Drosophila melanogaster: one gene and its partners. The protein of the gene in region 1 interacts with the protein of each later gene in a pairwise test. Each region holds a gene or a part of one and is shown on either strand. Other genes may lie near its edges. The genes, in order: Kdsr, CG32988 and CG4676.

Region 1 (3,882 bases):
CTTGTGTCAAAGCGCAAGATTGCAAAGCTGATCACGGAGCAGATTGTCCACGACTGGGACGATCCCAGGCTGTTTACTCTGACGGCTCTGAGACGTAGAGGCTTCCCAGCAGAGGCCATCAACAACTTCTGCGCCCAGATGGGCGTAACGGGTGCCCAGATCGCCGTCGACCCCGCCATGTTGGAGGCAGCAGTGCGGGATGTGCTAAATGTTACAGCTCCCCGTCGGTTGGTTGTCCTGGAACCGCTCAAAGTTACCATAAAGAATTTCCCTCATGCAGCGCCCGTGCAGCTAGAAGTGCCTGATTTCCCGCAAAACCCACAGCAAGGAACTCATAAGATCACCCTAGACAAGGTGATCTATATTGAGCAGGGAGACTTCAAGTTGGAGCCTGAAAAGGGATACCGTCGTCTGGCACCGAAGCAATCTGTGGGTCTCCGGCACGCGGGTCTCGTAATCAGCGTGGATGAGATAGTAAAGGATCCGGCGACTGGTCAGGTGGTGGAACTAATCTGCACCAGCCAACCTGCCGAGCAGGCCGAGAAGCCCAAGGCTTTTGTCCAGTGGGTATCGCAGCCGATACAGCTGGAAGTGCGTCTGTACGAGCAGCTCTTCAAGCACAAGAATCCCGAGGATCCCAACGAGGTGCCCGGCGGTTTCCTGAGCGACATCAGTGAGCAATCCATGTCGGTGGTGGTGGCATTCGCGGATCGGGCCCTAAACCAGGCCAAGGTTTACGACAAGTTCCAGTTCGAGAGGATTGGCTTCTTCTCCGTAGATCCTGACACCAGTGCGAACCACCTAGTGTTCAACCGCACTGTGGGATTGAAGGAAGATGCGGGCAAGAAGTGAACGGGATTTCGGGAACCCACAAATGAAAAGAAACAAAATCCGTATCACATTAAAATTCGATTTATAAAATCAATGTTCATTTCTTTCCCTCCACCATGATGATGTGGTAGCCAAACTTGGTCTTAATCGGGGGATCTGTGTACACGGGATTGTTGACAGTGGAGATGGGCAATGCGAAGGCGGCGTCCTGAAATGGGCCCACCATCGCTCCTCGGATCTGCCATCCGAGATCGCCGCCTTGTCGCGCCTTGTCCTCGCTGTAAGCAGCCGCTACCTCGGGGAATTTTTGGCCTGCCTTTAGCTTCTCCATCGCTTCGGTGATCTTGCCCTGCTTCTCGCACAAGATGTGACGAACCTTTACAGCATTGCCTCCCTTCTTCTCCTTACCGGCAGCTGCAGATGGCAAAATTCATTTGAAGGATAGGATTTTTGCTTTAGTCGTAAGCACTTACACTTGTCTTCGGCGGCTGGCTTTTTGCCACCTTTCCCTGCATCCTTTCCACTCTTCGCATCCTTTTTCGGTGGCATTTTCGTTCAATGTTTTTAAATTGCAAATTCGAAACAAGTAAACAGTTTGGTTGGAGCAGACACATGCGGTCAGTGCTGCGCACTAAGATCTAACCTTTTTTATCAAACCACTTTATTTCAAGATCTAGTAAATATTTATGTTGTTGATTCATATGGGTAGCCATTGCACATTTAATTTATTATGAATAAAATTAAACAAAAAGTTTTGAAGAACAAAATATTTGCTTGGCCGCTTATAGCCACATTTGCATCTCTGATGTGCGTCGAAAGCTTTCGATAGAAATCCGGTTTGCGTCAACGGTCACACTTAGATGCACTTTCTAATCAGACGTTTAACTTTGGGTGCAGATAAGCCAGCGTAAGAGATTAGAGAATCCGGGAATTATCGCACCCTCTTGAAATTGTCATCATGGAACTGAGCTGGGAGATAGTGTTCTGCGTGGGCATTGCGGTGCTGGTTCATGTTCTGGTCTACGTGTTCGTCATGGCCAAGAAACCGAGGAGCATTGTGGGTCGTCATGTGGTGGTCACCGGCGGCTCCAAGGGAATCGGACTCTGTCTGGCGGTGGAGTGCGCCATGAAAGGCGCCAATGTGACGGTGATAGCGCGCGACGAGAAAATGCTGAGTGAGTAATGTTCTGGCTAGGAAACCCCACCCAAAATACTCTTATCTTTGATATACGATCTTTTTTGCAGGCGGAGCAGTGGCTCTGATGGAAGTGATTCGCCAGCGGCCAGATCAAAAGTTCCAGTACAGAAGTCTGGACATAAGCGGCGATTATGACCAGGTGGCCAAAGTGCTTGGCGAGATCGAAGATAGCTTCGGCCCCATATACACTTTAATAAACTGTGCCGGAATGGCCATTTGCGGTGTGTTCGAGGAGGTCTCAGTCCAGGATGTCCACAAGCTGATGAACGTAAACTTCTTCGGCACCTATAACTGCACCCGTTATGTCCTGCCCAAAATGAAGAAAGCCGGCGACGGCATTATTGTAATCACTGCCTCACAGGCGGCTATGTTTGGCATCTATGGATACGGTCCTTACTCAGCCACCAAGTACGCCCTGAGAGCGATGGCTGAAACGATTGCAATGGAGTCTCGGGAGCACGGGGTCAGCGTCACTCTGGCCATGCCCTGCGATACGAATACACCCGGATTCGAGGAGGAGGAGAAGTCAAAGCCCAGGGAAACCAAAATAATCTCTGGTGGAGGAGGTCTCATAGAGCCGGAAGTTATGGCGAAAGCTATACTTAAGGATGCCCTGGTGAGTCTGTTACCCATAGTTAATATTCACGCAATCTAACTAGAATACTTTTTCTTATTTGTAGAAGGGAAAATTCACCTCAACTGTTGGAGCAGAAAGCTGGCTGATCACCACTTTGGGTGGAGCATTGCTTCCTTGGGATGGCTTCTTCACCAATCTTCTGCACGCCATAGTTTTGGGACCACTGCGAATAGTTAGCTACGCTCTGCACAAGTACTTCAATAGTGTTATACGCAAATGCGCTCGAGAGGATAAGGCCAAGGCCACATCGCAAGTGGAGTCCAAGTGAAATCTCTCTTGTCCCGCTGCCCTTAAAGTATTCCCAAGTGCCCATAATTAAATCACTTTTTTATAATTAATCAAAATGTGCGATTGTTTTGCATGGTTAGCCTATTCATATATTACAATTCCCGTATTATCATTCATTTTTATATATATATTTGTATGTGCATTTGAACTTTTTTATTATTGCCGTGCTAGGGTTTTAACTATTTGTATCGTGTTTTCTAGACTAGATGACGTGTGCTCGTTTTGTTGGTGTGTGCTTCGTTTTAACAAAAATAAAATGTATTTACTGTTCAGAAAATGAGTCGTTTTTAAATAACCACTTAGTGATTGTGCTAATCGCTAAAGCAATTTCACGCATTGGCCTAATCAAAATTGGTTTCGTATCTTAAAATCGAACAGCAAACTACATGCAGAAGCGATTAGATAAATACAAAAACCACGCCACAAAAGCCATCAACCTTTTCCAAATGGTTCAAAATTCAACGATAAATTATTTGGTTTTCTTTTGTCTTTCTTTATTCATAAGACGCACCCAGTGTACACTTCCTATAGTTTCAGTTTTCAATTCGCCTTTTTTTAACATTCTGTATAGTTAACGCTAACAAAAATTGTATAATCATAATGCAAAATATATATATATATATGTTTGTATATATATTTAGACATATTATTATAGCATCTTAGCACGATAATCAAAAATAATTGGATTCAAATACAGTAAGTCTACTTTTTGGATAGAAGAGTTATTAAATTATTGTTAGGATTAGGATGAAAAACTAAATTAGAGCTGATCTGCAGTATTTCGGTATCGTTTGGGATTTACAATAGATAGAAAGCATTGTAAATAAATATAAATTTAAACAAGCAGTTAGATTAAACAATAAACAAGGTATTTTGCACAAGACGCCGTACGACAACTCAACAGTGAAACGAAAAATGCTACACAAAC
Region 2 (3,484 bases), on another chromosome or scaffold:
CGGCGGACAGCGTTAAGAGTCCCACAACCCCGCCGACCATTGTCCAGACGATCAGTGGCCGAACGCGACTGATGGGCAGGCAGATCAGGACTGCCAGGATGGCGAGGGCGAAAAGCAGCCACACGTACGGCGGAACCGGCAGGATTCTAACAATGCTTATCTTGAGCGACGCAATAAACATTAAGGGAAATGCCGATGCGGAACACAGTAGTACGGCTTCTATGTAAACAGTACGGGCAAACACTAGCTGCACCTCGTCTGCTTCCTCTTCCAATTCCACTTGCTCATGCTGACAACAACTCATCGATCCGAATTTTTTGAGACAGAAATTTCAAAAATTGATGTAATTCGACATTTTGCTAAGATTGTTCACTAGTATTACTGAGGTATACCAATCAAAAACCAAATGGCCTGTTCATTGATTTTCGATGGTTTAATTTAAGCCAACAACATGCACTTAAAACCATTCAGTTTTTATCCAACATAGTCGCAAATACATTTCTAGGCTATTTGCACATCAGCCTCAACATATTTTTTATTCAACTATTAACTAGCTTATAGTACAGGGCAAAAACGAGCATGCAGGAGAGTAGAAAAATAAAGTGTAGGTAAATGCCATTGGCGCAATCCGCAGTCTCCCCATAAGGCACCTGCTGCAGCCTTCCACAAATGAAACGAGCCTGAAATGGAGCCATGAATGCGATCAGGATGACGAACACTATGGCAAGTGCCAGGAGATACCGCATATCATTGATGATCAGGAAGAGTATTAGCAGGACGATCATGGTGACGGTGAGCAGCAGAAAAATGCAGCAAGTACAGATAATGTTGGGTAGCAGAACCTCCGGACTTTTGGCCCCATACAAATGCAGCAGGGCCAGCAGGGATCCGGCAACCAAAATGGCAATCAAAAGGACCCAGACGCGCACTAGATGCATATAATACGCTCCGAACAGGGTGAGAAAGAACAAGGATCCCAGCACCAATCCCCAGCATAACAAGGTCAATGCTGGAGTCTGTGCGATGCAGCCGAGCACTGAGAGAATGATGAAAGCTAATATCAGCCAAACGAACGGCGGCACTGGAATTGCCTTGTAGACCCTCACAGCGAGTGCCGACAGTATGATCCACGAAATGGAAGACAGCAGGCACAGCACTACGGAGGATAGGTACACCCGGAAGATGAAGGCCCGCAACTCCCGCTCGTTGATGACTAAGACCTCCGGTCCCTCCGCAGGAACTGGCTCGCCACCAGGTCTTCCGGTTCTAAGGCCATAACGACCCCAACCCCGATTGCGATTATTCATGTGTTAATCAATTATTTTAGGTCAATATAATGTAATTTTGAAGAAAAAAGCAAAGTAAGTGATTCATTTTCTCTTATATTGAGACTAGGACTTTTCATAATACTCTGGCTTTATTCTAATTGCCTTGCAATGAGAATATATTTATATTTTCTGTACCGCCTAGGCTACACCGCACTAAGTAATTAGACTGGATGACAGTATCCTTTGGTCTGGAACACCATAGTAACTTGCCAGATCGCTAATCAGTTTCGATCACACAGTGACAGCTATTTCTCTCAATCAAAATCATTTTCGAGTGAAATTTTCGGAGCTTCAGATGTTTGTCTGATGGCCTCCTTTCTCTCGTCGACCAGGATGAAGTAGCACACGCAGAAGAAGAACATCATTGAATGCAAGTATAAAGTCAGGGTGCAGACCATGAGGTGCTCTTCGGGAACCACTTCCACGACGTTCAGACGGCCATGGTTGAACTGCGCCTGAATGGGGATCGCTATGATCAGCATCAGGAACAGAATGCTGACGAAGGTGTCGAGCAGCTCAACACTCCCGGTGCAGAGCTGGACGATTCCCACAATGGTCAAGACCAACAGCAGTGCCATCATCAGCAGCGTGGAGCAAACACCGCCGGGCAGGAACTCCTGCGGGCACATGGCCCCAGAGAAGTTGAGTAACATAATGATCAGGGCCACGCCGATCATCACGAAACTGATAATGAGCGGGCTCAAGTCGTGGATGAAATGGCAGCCAAACAAGGTGGTACACACAACCACCAGACCTGTCATGAACCACTTACAGGGAGAGTAGTAGGATATTCTCGGGATACAATGCATGCATATCATCACCAGAAAAATTATTAGAGCCAGGACGTAGCAGGGAAACGGAAGGTACCTCTGCAGGTGAATATGGGTCAGCATGAGCAGAATCCATGCGCCCACCGTAATTCCGATAAGGATCAGGCCAATGTTATAGATGCTGCGGATGAACTGGGTCATTGGGTCCAGCTGCTCGATCGTCGGCCGGATGTTGTCCTGGTGGTAAATGTTGTCCATCCCGTTAAAAATCCTTATGGACCGAGTGTTAAGACTAGGTCTGGCCTGCACCCTGACACTTACCTCCTGGCAAAGCTGCTCACCTTCTATATCTTTTATTTACAAATTGGTATCTTTTCTCATTAAAGCCTTCTTTTTATTTTACACGGACACGTTAAATTAACTCCTATAACTCTCACCATTTGGGAGCCCAGATGACAAAGTAAAAGGCCGCAAAGAACAACAGAAAGTGCAGATAGATGTTGACGGCGCAAATAACGAATTCGTAATCGGGCAGCTGGAATCGCCTGGAATGAACCACCTGAGCATGGTAAACGGATGCGGGTATTAGCAAAGTGGCCAATAACGTGAAGTACACCAACTGGTAGATCCAATTGTCTGTGAAGATATACATGGTCATCACAAAGATTGAGGACATCACGAAAATGACGAGCAGGAGGAACATGGTCCTCTCTCCGGGGAGGATGATCTTGGGTATCCATGCGCCAGCGAAATAGCATATCACAGTCATGGCGGAGGCCACCAGAAGGGCAATGCACACGCGGGAAAGGTTCCGCTCCAGGAGAAGCAGAATAACGCCCAAACCTGCCAGACTTACAAACAACCCGGCCATGATGAAACTATACCAATAAAAACTCCGCAACTTGGTCAAAATACAGAAGACAAAGAGAAACATTAGGGACACCATTGCACTTATGAATCCTGCCATTATAAGATCTGCCTCCGGAGGAATTACCTTGGACAGGATTATGGCAAGGATCGCAGTTGTAGTCGAAAACAATCCAGCCATCATGTAGCAGCGCCGCACAAATATTATTTTCGACGAGTCGCCATTTCCGTTGTCCAGTCCTCTGGAGCCTTCGCCTTCCACAACCGAACGTCGTGCCCTTAATCTACGGGGTGCTAAGCGAAGCTGGTGTATCGAAGGATGCTCGTATCGAACCAAAGTTCCAGGAGCCTGCTCTTGCTGCTGTGGCAAAGGAAAGTTGAGAAGCTGGAGGGCTGGTGGATAGATGACCCAGTCATTTCTTAAACTGCCTCCTAACATTGGGAGCACTTAGAGGGCAACCACTTAAAATTTTGACAAAATATTTATGGCACACCCTGATTGGGTACGAAGACATCCCT
Region 3 (3,433 bases), on another chromosome or scaffold:
TCGCGGTGGTAGCTACGAAAAGGCGACCGAAGTCTTCGCCCACATTGACAAGAACCAGCACAGAATTCCCGGAACACCAAGCCTAAATGCTCTGATAGAATTTGTGGACGCAAGTGTGCAGGAGAAGTCACCCAGCCAGGCGCTGTTTGCCCTGCAATATGCCGTTGAGAACAACTTTGATTCCAGGGAGTTAGCCAAACGTATTCATGAAGGATTTACCCTAAATGAAACACACCTGTCTAAGCTGAAATCGCTCGTAGGCGAAAGTTTCCTCGATAAGTAGTAGAGTCTTTTGTAAATTATATAATGAACGCTGTTAAATAAATAACCATTTAATAAATACTTGTTTGGTTTCATTAAACAGATTAATTTAATACATATAATAGACATTACTGAATGAATACACAGTATTCTAAATATTTTGTAAAGCTTTATGTTAATAAAAGGCTTTGTACTATTTTAACTTGTAAGCTGATCAAATGTGTGACTTGTAAACATTAAAAATTAATTTCCATTGGTCAAGTAGAGAATAGTAAGACGTATAAATTTGGATACTATTTCCAATTCAGATGTTGACTAGTGAGTCTTAAAATAAACAATACTGATTTTGTTATGAAGTAGATATAAGTAAATGCCTCTAATGAATGTCAAGAATGGGTAAGACACAATTCAGATCTATTCCTCCTTTGGAGAAAAGGCGGCTATGGGTTCCCAGTTCATTCCGTCGTGTGGCAGATCGCTGCGTAGAAACGGCGACAGCCAGGTGAGATGCATTCTCTTGCCCAGAACCATCTCCAGGTTACCCCGCAAACCGCGATCGTACTTTCTTGTGCCGCGCTCTCGTGTCACCGAACCGCTCTTGAATATCGACCAGTGGAAGACAAGGAGCAAGGATGATATGGCGAAGCCCAGAAGGGTGAGATCATATATGACCAAGTAGAAGGACTCCCAGCTTGGAGACAGCATCAGGCTAACCACGGGAGCAAATATGGTGAACAGCGTAGACCAGCGCCAGTAGATGTCCAGATGGAGATGCCACAGATAGATGCTCTCCATGATGGCGGCCGCCAAGGATCCGATGATCATGTAAACCAGGTAGTAGAAGAAGTACCTGTAGTTGTGATGCCCGATGCAGCAGCAAGTGAACCGACAGTGGTGGTCCCGCTTCAGCACGCACACGTTGCACACTTCGCAGTGCCAGGATCGAGGTGGCACCAATGTCTGACAATCCTGGCAAGAGTGCCACCGTGCCAGCTGCGCCGCATCCAACGGTGGCTTCAGCAGCTCCTCTATAAAGACAATCTTAGAAGGGATACCACAAAATCACTGCTTGCTACCCACTGCGGATACTAGTGTCCACAAGCATGCAGGCCAGCATGTTGGATGTGATGTTGAAGATGAGGAACAGGCTGGCCAACCATAATAACGTGTACCAAATCCCTCCGATGGCAAACAGTTCCGGCATAACAATGGTCACATGGAAGATGTATGTCACGGGCACAAAGACAGCCACCAGGAGGAAACATGCGAAATCCGAAATGGAACGAGGTTTAACGCGATCCCACGAGCGCAAAATCATCATGCTCCCGTTATTTTTTGTACCCCCCAACTGAGACAGTGCTGCAAAGCGATTTTTGGCTCTGCTGCTAACGGTAAGACTGTTAAGTCGAGTATGGTGAAACGGTTAGAACACAACTCTTTACGTTAGGAAACCCGTAAAATGTTAAATAAGATTGAATTTAACAGAAGCAATCCGGTTTTTAAAGAACACAAATGATTTAATTTAAAGAAATATAAATATATAAGGTAATAATAAGTAACTTAATACGAATAAATCAAATGTCATAAACGATGGTATATTAAAGGAATACAAATGTTATAAGCTTAAGTTCTTAAGTTTGCTTTATATTATTACATAAAAACTTGAAATTAAAAATAAAATTTTATTTGAAATTAAAGAACGACTTTATAATGGGGATTTCTACTGTGAAATTACAAAAACAAAAACCATACAAAATTGATAAGGCATAGCGCTTCGATGAAACTTTGCTTTGTTTTTTTTCTTGGAACTTTTAAAGGCGATTCAATTAATATATACGTGTGCATAATAGGTTGGGGTTTTTTTTTGCGGATTATCGAAAACCATATGACGAACGAGACAATAAAATAAAAGAATATGTTTAACTAAACAATGTAAAGTTTTAAATTGTGAAAAATAATCATTTCCTTGATGTAGAGTGCAAGCAGGTATAAAACATTGCCTAGCCTAGGTGCACTGTTCTTTTTATATTACTTTAATAATTTTTTTCTTTTTTAGGTTTTAAAATTTTGGGAGCGAACTAGTTCGCAGTAAAAATGAATTCGTGTAGCTAGTAGTTTATACATATATACCAAATGACTTTTACTGACAATAAAACAAATTAATAGGCAAAGTAATTTAAAAATGCACAAATTATATGGCACGAAAAACGTTTAACATCGTTTCGCTTCGCGAGTTTTGAAAATAGCTGAAGAATCGTAGCTAGAAAGCAGACGATTTGGCATCCCTGGCAGCAGTTAATCAAACCACTTGCGACCGTAAAACATTCCAAATGCTTCGGTGAAGTTAAATCTTATCGCAGCAGAGCAGTCGCGTTCCACATCGCATTCCGTACGAATCGCAGCCGCAACCGATCCCGCAAATTGGGTAGATCCGCAAAATGTCGGCGACGCACCTGGTGATTCTGGCCGTCGCTCTGCTGGTGGACATCGCATCCGCGGGCGTTCCCCTTCCGCGATACGAGGCGCTCCTCAAGCAGCAGTCCCCTCCATCGGATCCCACACTGGGTCTCTACGACGACGGGGATAAGGTTATCCGCCTGTCGGTCGACAACTTCAATGCTACCGTCCTGGACCAGAATCGCGGAGCATTAGTCGAGTTCTACAACACTTACTGCGGCCACTGTCGCAGATTCGCACCCACGTACAAGTCGGTAGCGGAGCACCTGTTGCCCTGGTCCGAGGTGCTCATCGTGGCGGCCATCGATTGCGCCGCCGAGGAGAACAATGGCATCTGCCGCAACTACGAGGTGATGGGCTATCCAACGCTACGTTATCTGGGCCCCGGTTTCCAGCCGGGTCCTCAGCATTACGGGCAGAGCCTGCATACGCAGGATAAAAACGAAATCCGCGAAATACTAGCGGGTATGGTGGCCGCAGAGAACCTGACCAGCAGCCACAACAATTCCTACTGGCCAAACTTTCACTACTTAACGGAGAACGATTCAGCCAGCAGTTTGTTCGAAGGTCTCAGCAGCGCCACGGAGTACGTGGCAGTGGTTCACGAACCGGAGAACACCACTCTAGGCGTCGAGGTGGCTCTGTTCATGACCCAGTGGCCAGCGGTGAGGGTCCGGCGCGTCATCGATCCAGCCGTGGCCGCCAAATTCAAGAT

Evidence for each region.
Region 2: the proteins of Kdsr (region 1) and CG32988 interact in a two-hybrid assay, tested with the Drosophila melanogaster proteins (one large-scale study listed by BioGRID).
Region 3: the proteins of Kdsr (region 1) and CG4676 interact in a two-hybrid assay, tested with the Drosophila melanogaster proteins (one large-scale study listed by BioGRID).

Annotation. Positions count from the first base shown.
Region 1 is NT_033777.3:25,260,308-25,264,189, reverse strand, and holds Kdsr (3-ketodihydrosphingosine reductase), read left to right. Parts: upstream 1-1,691; 5' UTR 1,692-1,789; coding exon 1,790-2,006; exon of another isoform or gene 2,007-2,008; intron 2,009-2,076; coding exon 2,077-2,645; intron 2,646-2,709; coding exon 2,710-2,934; 3' UTR 2,935-3,227; downstream 3,228-3,882. Other genes in the region: GlnRS (Glutaminyl-tRNA synthetase), read left to right, coding at 1-852; CG11858 (uncharacterized protein), read right to left, coding at 929-1,245, 1,305-1,380.
Region 2 is NT_033779.5:8,862,727-8,866,210, reverse strand, and holds CG32988 (uncharacterized protein), read right to left. Parts: upstream 1,348-3,484; 5' UTR 1,308-1,347; coding exon 540-1,307; 3' UTR 519-539; downstream 1-518. Other genes in the region: CG32983 (uncharacterized protein), read right to left, coding at 1-304; CG32987 (uncharacterized protein), read right to left, coding at 1,583-2,356; CG32986 (uncharacterized protein), read right to left, coding at 2,532-3,404.
Region 3 is NT_033778.4:13,234,164-13,237,596, reverse strand, and holds CG4676 (uncharacterized protein), read right to left. Parts: upstream 1,618-3,433; 5' UTR 1,583-1,617; coding exon 1,342-1,582; intron 1,290-1,341; coding exon 676-1,289; 3' UTR 542-675; downstream 1-541. Other genes in the region: CG4679 (uncharacterized protein), read left to right, coding at 1-283; Qsox1 (quiescin sulfhydryl oxidase 1), read left to right, coding at 2,700-3,433.